Arabidopsis thaliana: one gene and its partners. The protein of the gene in region 1 interacts with the protein of each later gene in a pairwise test. Each region holds a gene or a part of one and is shown in the gene's direction. Other genes may lie near its edges. The genes, in order: AT5G07730, ATG8F, AT3G10260 and AT3G54120.

What was found.
Region 2: the proteins of AT5G07730 (region 1) and ATG8F interact in a two-hybrid assay, tested with the Arabidopsis thaliana proteins (one large-scale study listed by BioGRID).
Region 3: the proteins of AT5G07730 (region 1) and AT3G10260 interact in a two-hybrid assay, tested with the Arabidopsis thaliana proteins (one large-scale study listed by BioGRID).
Region 4: the proteins of AT5G07730 (region 1) and AT3G54120 interact in a two-hybrid assay, tested with the Arabidopsis thaliana proteins (one large-scale study listed by BioGRID).

What each region holds. Positions count from the first base shown.
Region 1 is NC_003076.8:2,456,847-2,461,241, reverse strand, and holds AT5G07730 (uncharacterized protein), read left to right. Parts: upstream 1-2,739; 5' UTR 2,740-2,858; coding exon 2,859-3,566; intron 3,567-3,646; coding exon 3,647-3,733; 3' UTR 3,734-3,895; downstream 3,896-4,395. Other genes in the region: AT5G07740 (actin binding protein), read left to right, coding at 40-138, 286-327, 448-681, 773-854, 971-1,065, 1,178-1,249, 1,327-1,443, 1,647-1,715 and 2 more; XXT3 (Galactosyl transferase GMA12/MNN10 family protein), read right to left, coding at 4,112-4,395.
Region 2 is NC_003075.7:9,305,094-9,310,146, reverse strand, and holds ATG8F (Ubiquitin-like superfamily protein), read left to right. Parts: upstream 1-1,608; 5' UTR 1,609-1,801; exon of another isoform or gene 1,802-2,022; 5' UTR 2,023-2,033; coding exon 2,034-2,070; intron 2,071-2,164; coding exon 2,165-2,220; exon of another isoform or gene 2,221-2,657; coding exon of another isoform or gene 2,658-2,750; coding exon 2,751-2,803; intron 2,804-2,894; coding exon 2,895-3,013; intron 3,014-3,164; coding exon 3,165-3,265; 3' UTR 3,266-3,808; downstream 3,809-5,053. Other genes in the region: RGF6 (root meristem growth factor), read left to right, coding at 4,318-4,761. UniProt on the Arabidopsis thaliana protein: Ubiquitin-like modifier involved in autophagosomes formation. May mediate the delivery of the autophagosomes to the vacuole via the microtubule cytoskeleton.
Region 3 is NC_003074.8:3,170,376-3,175,113, reverse strand, and holds AT3G10260 (Reticulon family protein), read left to right. Parts: upstream 1-2,121; 5' UTR 2,122-2,545; coding exon 2,546-2,786; intron 2,787-2,860; coding exon 2,861-3,041; intron 3,042-3,125; coding exon 3,126-3,267; intron 3,268-3,369; coding exon 3,370-3,439; intron 3,440-3,531; coding exon 3,532-3,701; 3' UTR 3,702-3,892; downstream 3,893-4,738. Other genes in the region: GYRB1 (DNA gyrase subunit B), read left to right, coding at 37-104, 192-305, 382-498, 588-641, 725-830, 1,016-1,146, 1,241-1,309; AT3G10250 (histidine-tRNA ligase), read left to right, coding at 4,696-4,738.
Region 4 is NC_003074.8:20,040,490-20,044,657, reverse strand, and holds AT3G54120 (Reticulon family protein), read left to right. Parts: upstream 1-2,317; 5' UTR 2,318-2,524; coding exon 2,525-2,594; intron 2,595-2,696; coding exon 2,697-2,877; intron 2,878-2,941; coding exon 2,942-3,153; intron 3,154-3,240; coding exon 3,241-3,389; 3' UTR 3,390-3,532; downstream 3,533-4,168. Other genes in the region: AT3G54130 (Josephin family protein), read left to right, coding at 229-483, 1,176-1,763; PUMP1 (plant uncoupling mitochondrial protein 1), read right to left, coding at 3,662-3,706, 3,811-3,897, 3,981-4,058, 4,142-4,168.

The sequences.
Region 1 (4,395 bases):
TTGATGATAATTATTCAAATTTTTCTTTGCATCGTCCAGGCTGCAGTTCTGGCAATGGATGAGTCTGTACTAGATGTTGATCAAATAGAGAATCTTATAAAGTTTTGCCCAACCAAGGAGGAGATGGAGCTACTTAAGGTTACGTCTTGACTTTTGAGTAGCATTATCTATTTCTGTCTTTACTTTGGAGATCATTTGTGAAATATGTCAATTATTGGTTATCATTATTCACTTGTTATTGACATGAGTCCTTGTTCTTGGTCGTAATTGTCTGGTTTGTTCTAGAACTACACTGGTGACAAGACGACCTTGGGAAAGTGTGAGCAGGTCTGTTTAAGTCTTCAGATTACCAACCAATCTCGCACTGTTTTTGGCTTCTACTATAAAATGGTTAGCAATTAGCTTACTGAGTTAATACATTTTTTGTCATCCATTTTGCTATTGCAGTACTTCCTAGAGCTAATGAAGGTGCCACGAGTTGAGGCAAAGCTTAGAGTCTTTTCTTTTAAATTTCAATTCGGCACTCAGGTCTGGTGGAATTACTTAATACCGTTATTTTCTGTCTATTTGATTCTTTGGAGGACAAAATATAATTTTATTAGACTATTGATAATGATGTTTTTTGTGCAGATAACAGAATTCAAAAAAAGTTTAAATGCTGTAAATTCTGCGTGCGAGGAGGTAAGATGCTTGCAATAGTTAACTCTAGTTTTTGGGCAGTCCATATGCATTTCTCTTTGTTAGAATTTTCTACTTATTGCTTATTCATCAGGTCCGCTCTTCACAAAAGCTAAAAGAAATTATGAAAAAGATTCTTTACCTGGGGAACACATTGAACCAAGGAACTGCAAGGGGTAAGTATTATTTATGTTATTCTTGTTCTACATCTTTTTGCACAAGACATTGCTAGTTGTTTTGTCTGTACGGATAACCTTTGTGGTTGATATGATCCTTGCTTTGCTTTCTGCAGGCGCTGCTGTTGGATTCAAGTTGGACAGTTTATCGAAATTAAGTGATACACGTGCTGCTAACAGCAAGATGACTCTCATGCATTATCTTTGCAAGGTAAATGACAATCAAAAAGAGCAGGATCTAGTTTCTGATGAAGGTTATTATAAAAAGTGGTCTGGATCAGGAGAGATACATAATTCTGAAACTCTCATCTTTCTTTTTCCAGGTCCTTGCTTCAAAGGCATCAGTTCTACTGGACTTCCCCAAGGATCTTGAAAGTCTTGAATCAGCCTCGAAGGTTTGCAGTTGTTCATTTCTCGTCCTCTACTCCTTAGTTTCTATTGGCTCATCATTTGATCGTCCTGTCTATTGCAGATACAATTGAAGTCTCTGGCTGAGGAAATGCAAGCTATAATCAAAGGATTGGAAAAACTGAACCAGGAGCTCACTGCATCCGAAAGTGATGGTCCTGTTTCTGATGTTTTCCGTAAAGTATGTTGGGTTTTTTAATTTTCCTTTTGCACATCTTATCTATCATGAAATTGAGATTAGTTCCATGATTGTGCCACATTACTAAATCTGTATCACTTTTAAAATCATCAATAACCCGCTGGAAAATAATTCTTCAGTTGGGTTTTGTTTATAGAGTTAATTTCTTCCTGATCCTAAAACCTACTTTTATGCTTTGATAACAGACATTGGGGGACTTCATATCCGTTGCTGAGACTGAAGTGGCAACTGTATCGAGTCTTTACTCGGTCGTGGTAATTTGTCAACCTCTACTAGATTCCAAGCGCCTTTACCTTGACAATGTGGTTGATCCTGAAAATGATTTTTGTGTTGTTTCTTATGTTGGACGGCAGGGAAGAAATGCTGATGCTCTTGCTCACTATTTTGGCGAGGATCCTAACCGTTGTCCATTTGAACAAGGTATGACGAGGAATCTATAAACTTAAATCCTCTTGGGCAATACATAGAAAAAGAAAAAGTCCCTAATCGTTATTTAGTTGGAAGTGTTATGTAGCTAATAATAATACCGGGTAATGGACTGCTGCAGTTACTGCAACCCTCTTGAATTTTATAAGGTTGTTTAAGAAAGCACACGAAGAGAATGTCAAGCAAGCGGAGCTAGAGAAGAAGAAAGCTCTTAAGGAAGCGGAAATGGAGAAGGCAAAAGGAGTCAACCTCACAAAGAAACCAGTTGATGATAGCTGACGAAAAACTTAAGTATCAATTTGCAAATTCCGCCTCAACCTCTCAAGAGAACTGAGCTAGTCTTGTAAGCCAGCAAAGAGGCGGTGGTGCTGTTCAAGTAAACCTTTCCGCAAAGCGGCATTGGATGCTTAGTGCGGTTAAAAAAACAGGCTCGGGTCCTATGGGGAGCGGTTTCGCCTGGCGGGGGCTATCGAGGAACCATCGAAAGATTAAGAGACAGGTCTTTTCGCCACTCACGTTTAACATGATTGACTCCACATTGATTTAATTCTAACTTGTAAATTAGAATTCTTTCCTGTTTTTTATTTCCTGATTAGAGGAATTTTTGATAGATTGGAATGTTGTATAGGTTTCAGGTAGAGAGAGTGAGAGATGTAGAGCATTTTGTCTATTTAGTGTGTAACTTTGTATACCTTAACATCAATGTTCTTTTTAGGATTCAGTTCAGACAATGAGACGGCACGTGTGATAAACTAATTAATACAAAAGAAAATTGCGCGAGAAAATGAGATGGCACGTGTGTATGACCAGATTTTCTTAAACGAATCAGCGAAAAGCAACAATCACGTGTTCTTCTTGGATCCCAAAAGTTTGAAACTTTCATGGATTTGTCCTTCTTCTTCTTCCTCCAACTGTTTCTTTCTCACAAGCAAACCCTAGCGAGATAATTCCTCCAGCAAATCCAACTGAAGATGGCTGAAGATGAAGATCATTATTGTGAACAACACCTGATTGGTCCATTGGATCACAGTTCGTCAATGGTTGTCATCAGAGAATCGCCAATTTTCGCCAAGGACGATGGCGTTGTGTTCCCGCCGATCTACCATGAGAATCTCCATGTCGCTTCTTCCGTCTATGGAGTCGATAGATACCTCGAATCTCCGTCGGAATCCTCGTCTCCGTCATCTTCGTCGAGACGCTCTGGTTCATCTTCTTCTTTTTCGTTGTTTCCTTCTGATTCAGATGGACAAACGTCACTGACTGCGTTTGAATTTGACCGGAAGGCTCCGTCGGAAACTGAAGAAAAATCTCTGCCGTTGTTGTTAAGCGGTGAATCTCCACCGTCCGATTCGGGGGAACAGTCGCCATTTGAACAGATATCTCCGCGATTACCTTCTGAACAAGGCGGCAAGTCTCCACCATGCGATTCAGATGGGAAATTACTGGGGAAACCATTGAATCGTGAAGTTGATGTCCTCCACGATTGGTGGGAGCCTCTTCTTGTACGTTTATACTCCAAGTTGAAGAATTTGTTGACCTGGTTCTCAAAGACTATCCGATCATTTTATCCAGTTCTTGCCATTGCGATTTGGTGGTGGATGCGTGTACGAGCTCCTCGGAAACGCGTTAAAGGAGAAAACATGGATCATCTTCGAGATGTGATCAAAGAGAGAGACGAGGTATGTTTTTGTGCATACAAAGTGTTTGATGAAATGCCTAAGAGACGTGACATTACTATTGTTTTCTGATTTTGAAACAGAGGATAGTTCAGCTTTTGCATCAACTTGCTCAAATGAATGAGTTACTGTTAAAGCACCACAAGGACATTGTATCAAGAAGAAGATGATCCATCACAAATTCAAACCATTTTAGCTTATTGATTCTTTTGTTTCTTGTTTATATTATTTCGCAAGCCACTCTCTTTCTGTAAAATTCTTCCATTTTAATCTCTCAATTGAGATAAAGATGTAAATTTTCCCATTGTTACGAGTCAGAGTTACTTCACTTCATACTTAGGATTCTGCAAAACTAGATCTTTGCATTGAAAGGTACTTGAACAAATTGATAATTCATCTTCTGTTCAAGTTTAACAAAAGAATATATTGACTTTATATATTGGGTAAAAATATAAGAAAGAGAAGTGAGCTTTGAAACAATGTAGCATTTTGTTCAGTTAAGTAGGAACTGATTGTGCTTTACCAAACTGAAACTGGTTCATCAGCTGCTAGCTTCGTGCTTCAATCTTGAGCGGTGTTGTTCTCCGAATATCAAACCTGTCTACGAATTTCAATGGAAATGTTGTCTCGTTTCTGATCCTCTTGATCTTAGGACTTAACAATCCCCTGTGACCAAACCCATACAGTTTGAGCACTTGATTATCCGCAAAGTTGAATGCTCGCTCCATACTCTTCAAGCAACGTTCAACCGCGTAATCAGCATAACTCCCACACGGTTTGCATCCAACAAAGTGAGTAATAAAAGGCCATCTTTCATCTCCCAAACCGGGAT
Region 2 (5,053 bases), on another chromosome or scaffold:
TTTATATCAACCTTAGGCACAAATAGTGAATGCTTCAAAGCAATCCAAGTCTTTGAGAACATTCCTTCCACCTTGATCAAAACTCACTCAACATTTTGGAACGTGATGGTAACTTGTACACATGCTCGACAAACTGAGTATGGGCATTATCTTCTTGCAAGGATAGTCAAGACTCTATGGATAGAACCAACTATTGAAATAATGGGGACATATTTAGACGGCTTGGCTAGAGGAAAAGTGATTGATGAGGCATAACGAGTTGTCAAGACTTTGATTTTCAAGCCTAACTAGGAGATTGCTGTGAGTCTTTTATCAAAGTACAAAAGCCATTCAACACCCATTGAGTTTGCTAAACGTTTTGTGAGGTACCTTGAAGAGAAGAAAGTCACCTTCTACATTGCTGGAACGACTTATAAGGTACTAGACGAAGATGGGGTGGAGTGGAAATCTAATGTCAAGATTAAGAAACAGAAGAAAGGAAAATCCACAATCCACTCCCATTAGAGCAGTTCAAAGTACTATATATTGCTGCACAGCTAAATCATTCGTCAAAGGCATTTCTTAACCATGCTATTTGACCTGAGGTTACGAGAGTAAGGATATAATTGTATTGATTGTTTTGAAACAGTGAAATAAACATGAAAAAGTGCAGTGAAATAAACATGAAAAAGTGCATACTCCCACATATGTGCCCCATATGCTCTAACAAACTTGATAAGTGTCATACGTAGTGAGATACCCTTATATTTTTTTTAGCTTTTTATATACTATTGCTTACAAACCTTATTAATATAGTTAAATAATTAGGGTGGGCATCGGTTTGGATTAAGTAATGATTTTGGATAATGATTAAAAAATAATTTTGATTTTTTTTTCAACTTCAGAAAACTCAATCTTAACTTTTAAAAATGTTTATGTCTTTTCACAACTATAATATTTTATATCTATAAGTAAAAAACTTGTTAGAAAACTTATCTTACTTTGATAAAAGATTCATTTTGATTAATTATCTTTGTTATCCTGTAAATTCTCGGTTTTGACATTAATCACTCAATTCCGGTATTTTAATAAATTACAAAATGAGTTTTGTGCAGTGTTGAAGATATATTCTCAAATACAGTAATTGCTTTCAACCCTTGATTTCGAAATGCCTAAGCTTGAAATCCTAAGCTGTCCATACACCAAGACCTACATCTCCAGATCTCTATAACAGTCATAAAAAAACTTCTGCCTATACTTTATTTATTAGTTTTCATATTTCCATCCGTTTATTTGCAAGGCCCATTACTGCACTAGGCCCTACATTTTGTTAGAAGAGGCAAAGCTTATAAGCGACATTCTCAATTTCCAACTATTACCCTTCCGAACTCTTCACCTAACACACATTTTCTAGGGGTAAACGTGTCATATCGTATGCAGAAACGTGATCCCAGCATATCCGGTTCTTCTTTATCCTTTGTTGGAGGCAATATCTACGTAGACAGTTACCTCGTACACCTTCAGTAAAATGGACGGTTGAGATTCCTATTTCAGTAAATAGCTAATATCTACCGTCAGATTCTCACTGAACAGATTAAGCATACAACGTCAGCTGAAGTGTTTAGATGTTACCATACACCATCTGTAGAGAATCTCTGACCTTATCGCATAATTTTTTAATGTTTTGCAGAATTTTTGTAGGTTGCTTATTTGCTTTTTCTTTCATATTTTTTCGTTAATTGTTGTTGTTATCTTCAACGATAGCGTTGTGCTCTGGAGAAGTGTTTGATCGCAGAAAAGCTTCGTTCTTTGTAGTCTACAGGTTTGATCACTGAGTTCTTAACTTCTTTTTTGGTTTGATTGCGATCCTGTACTTTCGTTTAGATTACTTAAAGGTTGGGTCTTTAACATGATCGACTGATAGATTTGTGGGAATTTTGATAATCTGAGTTCCAGAGTTTGGGAATTGATGATTTGATTTGAGTGTTAAATTTGTTTTGATGGTTGTCTGATTGGTGTCACCTATTTGTTATGTGTGTGTAGGCGTGGAAGGAATGGCAAAAAGCTCGTTCAAGCAAGAGCATGACTTAGGTTTGGATTTGAGCTTTGTTCTTGCTTTACTGTTTGGTCCTCGAAATCAAAACCTTGTGCTTTGATCTAATGATCCTGTTTCCTAAATCTTCAGAGAAGAGAAGGGCAGAGGCTGCTAGGATTAGAGAGAAGTATCCTGATAGGATTCCGGTGAGACTTTCAGTGTCTCTCTTATACATTGATCGATCATACATTTCTAAAGTTATATGTGATTAGCATATTGTTTCCCTTTCTATGTTCGGATCAATCTTTTGTGTTTGACTGAGTTTATGCAGGTTAAGTTGTTGTGGTTTATGGCCCAGCAATATGGTAGTAATGAACTTATTGGGATATAATGAACTTATTGGGATAGCATCTGGTTTTAAATGGACACCCTACCCGACTAAAGGATGGTTATCAAGTTATTATTGTTTGATTAGCTTCATGCTTGTGATATATGTTTGCCACTGTTTCAACTACATGGAGTTGATTGAGTTATAGTGACTATAACAACATTAGGACTTTGAATTTAGTTGTCATTTTTTGGAACGTGACTTTCTGAAACTCGATTCTTACTGAGTACTTACGGCTTAGATAAGTAGATTTGCATGATTCATGTGGCTACGTGCTTTATGATTCACATGGTAAAAATGACACTTGAGATGATGATTTCCACGCATTTATATTTTTGTGGGATCCAGGTGATTGTTGAGAAGGCTGAGAAGAGTGATATACCAACCATCGACAAGAAAAAGTAAGCATATAAATGGCATCAGTATCCTTTTCATTCGGACCTGACTTGTTAATAATAGTGATTGATAACTAAGCTTTTTTCAAATTTGCAGGTACCTAGTCCCGGCTGATCTGACTGTGGGGCAGTTTGTGTATGTCATTCGCAAAAGAATCAAATTGAGTGCAGAAAAGGCTATCTTCATATTCGTGGACAATGTTCTTCCTCCAGCAGGTAAACAGATAGATCTCCTCTGTATTCAAGACTCAGGAGTTTCATTATCTTTTAACACAAGTAACAAGAGCATAAGAAGGCGTCTACTTATATGTTCCCCGGTGATTATAAATTCTTTATATTTGGCTGATCTGATCTGGTAACTTTGCAGGTGCGCTCATGTCTTCTGTGTACGAAGAGAAAAAGGATGATGATGGGTTCCTCTATGTCACTTACAGCGGAGAAAACACATTTGGATTTGGATCTCCATAATAGAGACCTCTTGCTGGATATTTCATTTTACTCCTCTCTATTTTCACCAAATATTTCATCTTCTTATTAATTACTAAGCAAGCAAGCCACCTATGTACTTATTCTCTAAGGACCTTTGGTCGGGCGTTAATATGTACAGAAAACATAAAATAATGTATATAATCTTCTTTCAAGGATCTAAAAACCTACTTTAGGTGAATCTATCACATCTCCCTCTTGACTTTGTTGTGTTTTTTTTGATGTCTTCAATCTATAAGCCGACATAACACGTCGCTTATGGCACATGGGCCATGACAGTTCCAAATTGCAAAGCCTAAGTGAAGAGAAGTTATATCACCAAACTCAATAGAAGTGCAAGCACAAGGGAACTGTGCCACGTGGCAGACATGGTCGGTACCGGTTGAAGGTTGGCCGGCGACGATCTTATAAAGGTCCCACATTGTCGTTGACGGAGAGAAGGAGGAGACGGTCGGACCATGCTGGCTTGTTTCTCATCTTACACTTTTCAATATTGATTTTTGTTTCATATATTTATTTGTTCACAGTTTTAGCTCGATTTATGATCGTCAAAGATTGTAATTCAAGGTTCCAACCGGTCACGTGGAACATGAGAGACGCGGTTGTGTTTTTGGGATTTTGGACCATTGAAGTGAAAGTTGAATGTAAAAGCTTTTCATAACTTGTGAGTGTTTTGTCCAAAGAAATCAATGTCAAATAGTGTAGTGATAAGAAGGTGATCGATTAGGACTTAAGAGAGTAAACACGTCGGTCATACAATAATGGCGTGGATGAAAAAGGTGAAGAACCGGAGAATAAGGTGAGCAAATGGAAGAAAGGAAAATGAGAATGCAGGAGATGATGACCCCACGAAGACTCTCAAGTAGACAAAAGGTTTGGCCGATCAAGACACCCATATACATACGATAGATATGTATGTTGAATGTAAAATATATTTGAATAATAGACAAGAGAGAAGATTAAAAAGAAATAAAAGAGAAGAGGAACAAGAGCATGTTATGATAATGAAGGACCCCTCCCCCCACCTGTATTTAATGCTTGTCTTACTCTCTTTACTCTCTTCTGCCTACAAATACTCTCCTTCCCTCTTCTCTTCTCTTACACCAATTAACAACATTTCAAACTTTCTTTGTCCTGCTCTAGTCTCATCTCCCTGTATACAGACACAGCATATATACACAAGTATCTCAAGAACAAGAAGAAGAATAAGAGAAGTCATGTCTTGCTCTTTGAGGAGTGGACTCGTGATAGTGTTCTGTTTCATTCTTCTGCTTTTGTCTTCCAATGTTGGATGTGCCTCTGCCGCTCGTCGTTTAAGGTCACATAAGCATCATCATCACAAGGTTGCTTCTTTGGACGTCTTCAATGGTGGAGAAAGGAGGCGGGCGTTGGGTGGAGTCGAGACAGGGGAAGAAGTAGTAGTCATGGATTATCCTCAGCCTCATCGTAAGCCTCCGATCCACAACGAGAAGTCTTAATTACCCGATCCATATATACCAGTCTCTCTAAATATATCATACTGTTATATGCATATGCATTCACCATGTTGGTGGTTGTAATGACTCTTGTGCTATCTCTATATATATTCATGACCAACTTCTTTGTTCTCTATTTCTCCTCGTATACAACAAACAAGGTGCTTCCTATTAATTACTCTGTTTCTTATGGGTATTGCATAAAAGATTTTCAACATTTGAGAAACAGAATTGTGAAAATTCTTCATTAAGCTTTGAATGTACAAGAGATCTTAAATACAGAAACTAAACCGAG
Region 3 (4,738 bases), on another chromosome or scaffold:
AGTCAGTTTATTGACATCTATCTCCTATGCTACCAGAGATTTTCATTGTCGAAGGAGATTCGGCTGGTGGCAGCGCGAAACAGGGTCGTGACAGGCGTTTCCAGGTAAAAAAAATCATTCTGCTCAGCGTGTCACTAACAGGCTCTGCTTCTATTTTGTTAGTCTGTAACACTGTATTTCGATCTATGCAGGCAATTCTTCCTTTGAGAGGCAAAATTTTGAATATTGAGAGAAAGGATGAAGCAGCAATGTATAAGAACGAAGAAATTCAAAATCTTATTCTTGGCCTTGGTCTTGGAGTTAAGGTAATATATCCTTTTTCATATCCTGCTGTTTGTTGGTATGTTCGGAAAACTCAGTTTGACATAAAACTTATTTCAGGGAGAAGATTTTAACAAGGAGAATCTGCGTTACCATAAAATTATCATCTTAACAGATGCAGATGTTGATGGTGCACATATCCGGACACTTCTGTTGACCTTTTTCTTCAGATATCAGGTACTAGTTTAGTTTGATAAAACATTAGTTGAAGTAGCCTTGATTGCTGATTGAGTTATGTGAAATTTAATGAAATTTACTTTCTACAGAGAGCCTTGTTTGACGCGGGTTGCATATACGTTGGTGTTCCACCTCTTTTCAAGGTAAGCTCTTAGTATCTATAATCTTATGCTTCAGATTGAACGGAATTTTTTTCTAAAGCTAGTCTCTCTGTGAAAACGATCAGGTTGAGAGGGGGAAACAGGCGCACTACTGCTACGATGATGCAGCTCTTAAAAAAATCACTGCTTCGTTCCCTGGAAACGCATCCTACAACATTCAGAGGTTCAAAGGTAAAACATCCTACTTCTCACATCATGAATGTGTTCTTTTGGAAAGGATAAATAACTATGAAAAGTAATGTATAGTAGTTGTTATGTGTTAGCTATTAAGATACTCTTGAGTGTGTGCATAACGAAATCTAGATTAGTCTCAACTATTGGATTCTATGTAATGTTTCTTGCTTTTGCATCTGCAGGTTTGGGTGAGATGATGCCTGCGCAGCTATGGGAAACAACGATGAATCCAGATACAAGGATATTGAAGCAACTAGTTGTTGACGACGCAGCAGAAACGAATATGGTCTTCTCATCTCTGATGGGTGCTCGGGTAAGCCAATGAATTGCCAGACTCGGACTCATGATAATAGTCAATAAACTGGCATAACTCATCGTGACAATGTTATGTTCTGTGTATGTTTCAGGTCGATGTCAGGAAGGAACTCATCAAAAGTGCTGCGACTAGGATGAATCTGGAGAATCTCGACATATAACACAGCTTATAGTTATTGCTTCAGCTATATACAAACAACAAAGAAACGACTCTGGTGAAATGCAAAGGGAGACATCATCATTTCAAGGTTAAATCATATAGTCACAGGCCAACAGGATTTTGTTCTTCTTCTGGCCTATAAAGGACAAAATTCATTGTTAGGATTATCTCTTTCAATGTCAAAATTTAGCAATTCACAAGGCTCTTTGTTGGGCGTTTCTTTCCATTGGAACTAGAATTTTTCTAGAGACAAGAGAAATTTGCATTCACTAGGTATTTACTATATATTATGACTTCAACAATTTGGCATTCCTGAAAATCATGCATGCGACGAAGTTAAAACTAATGATTAGAAGGAAGATGAGAAGGTAACTATTGTGCAATGAATATCTTCTCTGCCTGTTGTATTGATTTTAATTGTATTCGAGGTTAAGTTTTGACTGATGTTTTACTAGCGATCGCAGAGTGATCGATAATTAACAAGTTTATTTTTCGATTTGGTAGGTATATAGTGAATTAAACATGATTTTTGTTCTTCCTGAACAACCTAAAGCAGTGTTATGAACGCATCACGCATGTAACAACCAGTCAACCATATTAGTGTGACTTTAATTCATTGAATAAATGAAATTTTTTTATTTTCAACAAGGCTTGTAACGGTTGATAAATCTACTCAGAAAACTTCTTTTTGTTTGTCTTGCAAATACAAACGATACGTTTCAACTCTTTTTTTGGCGTCCAATAATACTTCTTAAAAAATAATTTGTTTATTGTCATGAGCTACACGTGGGAAGACAAGTCCTATCCATTATTACTACACACTACTCCAACATTTGCCCACATTTTGAAAAAAACATTTTTTTGTAATTCAATTATTCGACACAACCAATCCCATCTCTTGTTTCACTTCCGCCCTCCATCTTTCTTCGTGATTGAGAGAATCTTCAACGAAAGAAAGCAACTTTTTTTGGGTGAAATTCACAGAACAACCAAGGTTTTTCTTCTTCTTCTTCTTCTCCAGTTCCTACAGGTTTACTCTTACTCATCTTCATCTTTGTCTCGTTCTTGCTCTTCAATTTCTGGTCTTTTTGTTGTTCTTGTCTTCTCGCCAAATATACTAAGATCTAAGTTTTATATCATTGTAATTATCACCAACGAACTGTTAAGACCAAATTTGATTACTCGAAATGGTTTTGGGTTTAGGGTATGAAGAACTGATCAAAAGATTCAATTTTTTATGAAGTCAACTTTCATCTGCAAATTGAGCAATCTCAGATTTCGATTGTGTTTCAGAATCATGCCTGACAAGAACATCGTAGAGGACGTTATCGGTGATTTGGTGGATAACTTCACGGAGACTGTTCAGAAGAACAAACATGGTTCCTCCTTCTTCGAACAAGAAGATTCCGTCAGTTCTCGTTTCAACCGTTTGTTTGATCGCCAGAAGCCAATTCATCATGTCTTAGGCGGTGGCAAATGTAAGAATTCGTATACAGGAACATAAATATGAGATTGGTTTTTCTTGTAATTGAGTATTGAGAGATTCCTTCAGCTGCTGATGTGTTGTTATGGAGGAACAAGAAGATCTCTGCAAGTGTTTTGATGGGAGCTACCGCAATTTGGGTGCTTTTTGAATGGATCAATTTCCATTTCCTGTCTCTCGTTTGCTATGCCCTCTTGCTTGGTATGATTGCACAATTCGTTTGGTCTAACGCCTCTGGATTCTTAAACCGGTAACTTGTTGGAGTGTTGTTGTCATTATTATTGGTACCTTGTGATTGCAATCTAACACAATGTCCTTTAATGTCTCAAAGCAGCTCACAGTCTAGAGTGCCTCGCCTAGTTCTTCCAAAGGATTTCTTTGCTGAAGTCGGTGTGGCCGTTGGAAAAGAAGTTAACCGCGGTTTGTTGTTTCTTCAGGACTTGGCTTGTAAAGGGAATTTGAAACAGTTCCTCATGGTGCGTTGTTTGTTTCAATAACCACAATCTTGTTTGTATAATGTATTAGCACTTTCATTACTATGCTAAGATAGAAACTTTGATCACAATATCATTTTTCAGGCTGTAATCGGACTATGGGTAGCTGCAATGGTCGGGAGCTGTTGCAATTTCCTAACTGTTTTGTATATCGGTGAGTGGTTCTTATTAGTGTATCCTCTTTTGAGATTGGAAGTTGAGTAATACAAGACTTTAAAGGGATGCATTTTATGTGTGTGTGTGAAGGGTTTGTTGGGGCACACACAATGCCGGTTCTGTATGAGAGATACGAAGACGAAGTGGATGGTTTTATGGATTCTATGATCATGAAGTTTCATAGTCATTACAAGAAGCTTGATACTGGGTTTCTCAGTAGAATCCCAAGTGGAAAGTTTGGATTAAAGAAGCGTGAGTGACTAAATCACTCAAGCATTTTCTTATTTTACCTTGTTTGTTGTTAGAACAATATGGATTATGGTTTGCTAAATGAATGTTTTGAGAATATTATTCATTCATGTAGATTTTGTGTATTTCCTTACTAAACAATACCTTGTCCATGTATTTGTCAATACCTTGGTTAATAAGAGAATCATCATATCTGTCAAAATTATACAAGTAGATTGAGAGTTCATTAACTCAATGTCTAAAAATGTAAGACTTAAAACAAGTTTGAATCAAAATTATTTCACAAATCAAAAGTATGGTTTTCTTATTTCGTAAGAATCGTTGACTAATATTGACCGGCTGGCTAATAAGAAGATCAGATAACTCTACAGGTATGGGATCCACCATTGTCAAACATTTTACACGTGTCAGCTTCCTGAGCTTCGAAGCCTGAATGTTAAAATTAAAAAATTTAAAAGAAAGAAATATAAAAAGAAGTAAATCAAAGAAAATGGAGTAAAGAAATTGATCCACGATCGATCAACAAAGTGAGGTTAGGTTCCATCTCCACCTCTTTCTCTCTCGAATCTTCTCCGATTAAAGGTGCTCTTTTGCTTATGAAATTTGTGTTTCTTAAGCTAATCGAATTTGTTTTCTTGATCGTTTTGATGTTCTTTTTTTTTTTTGTTATTGTTGTTGATTTGATGTGATCCGGTTGTATTTGAAGACGAAATCGATTCGAAGTGTTGAGGTTTAGTTTGGGGTAAAATAGATGATTCTCAATCTGTTCTTATTTGTGAATTATTTTGTATTTCTGATTCTCTGTTTTTTTCTGTTTTTTTTTGTTTTTTTTTGGATTTGAAACCTAGAGAAAGAACCTTGTTTCATTAGTGGGAGATAAAAACCTCTAATGATTTGATATAAATTTTTGAACTTGTACAGATTCGAATCGATTTCCCTTGTACCCTCTCTTAATACTGGTTCTTGCCTGACAGGAACAAGGTCTGGTTTACAAAAGTCTCATAGATGTCGAGTGGAACAGTGAGAAGGGTTTCACGTCAAGATATAC
Region 4 (4,168 bases), on another chromosome or scaffold:
AAGGCCTAGAAAGTCGGTTATTACACGTGGCATCCTTTTATTGTATATTTACTTTTCCGTCCCTTACATTTTCTTATTTAAATAATCTGTTAACTTGCTTCTTCTTCTTCTTTCTTCATCTTCATCTTCATCTTCGCTTCACAATCTCTTTGAGACTTTTGCATCGGAGCAATAATAATATATTCATCGCAAAATCAGTGAATTTTGATATTCAAATCTTAATCGGCGATGGAACGAACAAGCAACGGAGGAATGTTGTATCACGAGGTTCAAGAGTCAAATCTGTGCGCCGTACACTGCGTCAACACGGTGTTGCAAGGGCCTTTCTTCTCTGAATTCGATTTGGCTGCCGTCGCCGCCGATCTAGACGGGAAGGAGCGTCAGGTTATGCTTGAAGGTGCTGCCGTTGGAGGTTTTGCTCCCGGCGATTTCTTAGCTGAAGAGTCGCACAATGTTTCCCTCGGCGGCGATTTTAGTATCCAGGTACGAATTCGCGATGAAATTGATAAATCTTGAGTTGCATTCAACATTTATATATTGTAAAGCCTTTTTGTTATTGTGTTGTTGGAAGTTTAGGCAAAATTAGGGTTTCGATTTTATGGTGCTTTTGATTGCTGTGTTTATGCTGAAGTGATAAACTTTTGAATGGTTGGATTCGTTTTTAGATAGATTCAAGAAGAATTGAGATCAGTAATGGTGTGAATTTGCGATCTTTACTTTGGGTTAAAACTCATTTGTTGAAGGCTAGTTTCATTGTGCGAACATTGCTATGCTGATAAATGGAGGAACTTGAGATGATTTTTTTTATCTTGGGACTCAATTGTTTTGGATATGTTAGTTATTAGTGAGGTTCTGTATATTCAATTATCATCTTTTGTTTCTTGGATAGCTTTAAACCGAGTTGGTTGATAACTTGATATTTGATTAGGTTGCTACAAAAGTCAGGTTTGATTGCAAGATTTATGTATTGAGATTCAAGGGTATAGTATGGTGTTTTACATCACATTTTTAGATATCTAAAATTAAAGCTATTTTAACGGATTACGTTGAAGTTGGATGCGGATAAAACACTGCAAACAGAGGGTTTATGCGATTGGTGTAGCATTTTAATCTTGCAAAGTTGATCTAGTCTTTGCTTATTCGTTTAACTGAGAATGCTTCTGTTTGATTGACAGGTCTTGCAAAAAGCTTTGGAAGTGTGGGATCTACAAGTAATTCCACTCAATTGTCCAGATGCAGAGCCTGCGCAGATAGACCCTGAGCTTGAAAGCGCCTTTATCTGCCACTTGCATGACCATTGGTTTTGTATAAGGAAAGTGAATGGCGAATGGTATAACTTTGATAGTCTCCTTGCTGCCCCGCAACATTTATCGAAGTTCTACCTTTCTGCGTTCTTAGACTCTCTCAAAGGCGCAGGATGGAGTATCTTCATAGTGAAAGGAAACTTCCCTCAGGAATGTCCCATGTCGTCTTCTTCTGAAGCTTCCAATAGTTTCGGGCAGTGGCTTTCTCCTGAAGACGCAGAGAGAATAAGAAAGAACACGAGCTCAGGTTCTTCTGCCAGAAACAAGAGAAGTAATGACAATGTTAATCAACAAAGACGGAATCAGGCATTGTCACGTGAGGAAGTGCAGGCTTTTTCAGAGATGGAAGATGATGACTTGAAGGCAGCAATTGCAGCAAGTTTGCTTGATGCTTCTGCTGCTGAGGCCAATCTCGGAGCTGTGGGCACTTCTGAAAAGGAAACTGAGAAACAAAAGTAGCAGAGAAAATAGAGAACAAGTGTTATTGATGGAGGTGGTGGGATATTCACTTTTGTTTCTTTGTTTTGGTTTGTTATCAAGAGTTATCAACAATTTTACATACAGAACAGAGAAAGAAAAAAGCTTACATCGAAAGATAGAAAACAGAGGATAATAAATGGTTTGTGGAATTGTTTTTGTTTGATTTTTTTACCATATTAAATTCTTCTGACAATCTTAAATTGAGGATAAAGATTCGACCTTTTCGAATTCATAGGAAACTACATCTGAAAAGGGTACATAAATTACTTCAGTTGACTAAAAGTAGATGAATGACCAATTTAAATGTGTTCTATGGAAAATATAAAAGGATGGTGTAAAATTTGATTCATCTCTAAGTACAATCTGGCGAACTTTTACAGTTTGAAAAAAACAAGAAGGATAACACTTTTAGGCTGGAAATAAAAACATCGAGAGGACAACAAACACCTTCTTTTTCCCTAAACAGAGCATAGCCTTTGAATTATTAATTAATTATTTGTATATTCAAAGTTGATGGCTTTGATGATGATGGTGATGACCCAACTTTAGTCTCTTCTTCACTTTTTATTTTTACTTTCTTTGTGATACATCAGGTTCCTTCGATTCGAGCCTTTAGGATTTCCTTTCACATAATGATCTGTTTCTGACATTCAGAGAAAGATATACATATCTGGGTTACTTTTGGGATCTGATCATCTGAGGAAATCTGAATCCAAGTTTGCTCTGATCTTTCTTCTCAAATGAGTTCTTCTTCGGACAAGTTGTTCAACAGAGACAGGACAATACATGAGATTCTGGGAGGAGGCATTGGTTAGTGAATACATTTCTTTACCAAATCCAAAACTTATAAAAGCTAGGTGATCTCTCACCTCTATAGCCTTTTTTTTTTCTTGTTATGAAATGAATCTGCAGTTGCAGATGTGATGCTGTGGAGGAAGAAGAATGTGAGTGTTGGTATAGTTACAGTGACAATAGCTTCATGGATGGTGTTTGAGGCATTTGCTTACACTATCTTTACTCTTATTTCAAGTGTTCTTCTTCTCTTGCTCTCTATTCTCTTCCTCTGGTCCAAATCTGCTTCCATTCTCAACAGGTATATTAATATTCACTTGTAACTAATATTACTTCATTTCTGATTCAATTTCTTGGCTCTTCAGGCCATCACCGCCGTTACCGGAGTTTCAAATAAGTGAAGCGATGGCGGAAGAAGCTTCGATATGGTTACGTATTCATGTGAACAAGCTACTCCAAGTTTCGCATGACATTGCAATGGCAAGAGACTCAGAGTTGTATACCAAAGTAGCAGTGTCACTGTTTCTTCTCTCATTGATCGGAAGTCTCATGGATTTTCAGACACTTTGCCACACCAGTAAGTAGATATTCTAAAACTCCTATAGACTTGGAATGCTTTTGAGCTGGATATTCATTTTGTGGTTGTTCTTGGTTAATTTGGCAGGCGTTTTGGTGGTTATGACGGTTCCAGCTTTCTATGAGAGATATGAGGATTACATTGTTGGCTCTATTGAGTTTATCTGCAACAAAACTAGAGAGCTTTACCTTAGACTCGAGATATGGGCTAATCCGGAAAATAAGAAACTGAGCTGAGATGCTGTCACCTCTTTCTTCTTCAGGAGTTTCTTTTTCTGATTTTTCTCGGTTTTGTGGAAAGAAAGGAGAAAAATGTATGATTTTTGATAAATGTTGGATGGTACAGCCAATATATGAGCAATCCACAGAAATTTTATTTCACAGTTTTACTCGAAAACTGAATCTCTATTCCGAAAACAATATTCGACCAAGTTCTGGCCTCTCTCAATCACCGAAAATGAAGAAGAAAACAATGTTGCTCTTATTCCCTCTGCTTAAAACTATGTGTCTCAGTTTCTTTTGGACGCATCGAGTTCCCGGACATACTTCTTTGCCTGGATTAGAGTATTAAGAACCCGGATTAGAAAATGAGAAAGAAGACTTTGCGTGACCGATTCGAATGCGATTGCGATAAAATAAAAATTCTATCAGTTGTTACCTGTTCGAGGGTCAAAAACATGATTACGTTCCATGAGCCAAGGCGTCCAAAGTTGGGGATGAAACCCTTGTAAAATGCCATAGGACCCTGTAGAGGAAACCGTAAAGAGTTTGTAACATTTTCTGGGTTATATCTAGAACAATGGAGGTATCAGAAGCAGAGTTGCTTACGTCGCTCTTCAGAGTTTTGACGAAGCAGTCAATGGTGCCCTTGTAAGCACCAGAATCTCCCATCATTCTTGACTTAACCTGCCACACAACAAGATTTAAGTAGACAATCAGGAAACGTGGTGAATAAACTCAAGGTTCAATGTCATGAGTAAATACTTTACCACGTCGACAGGAGAGCCGATGCAGAC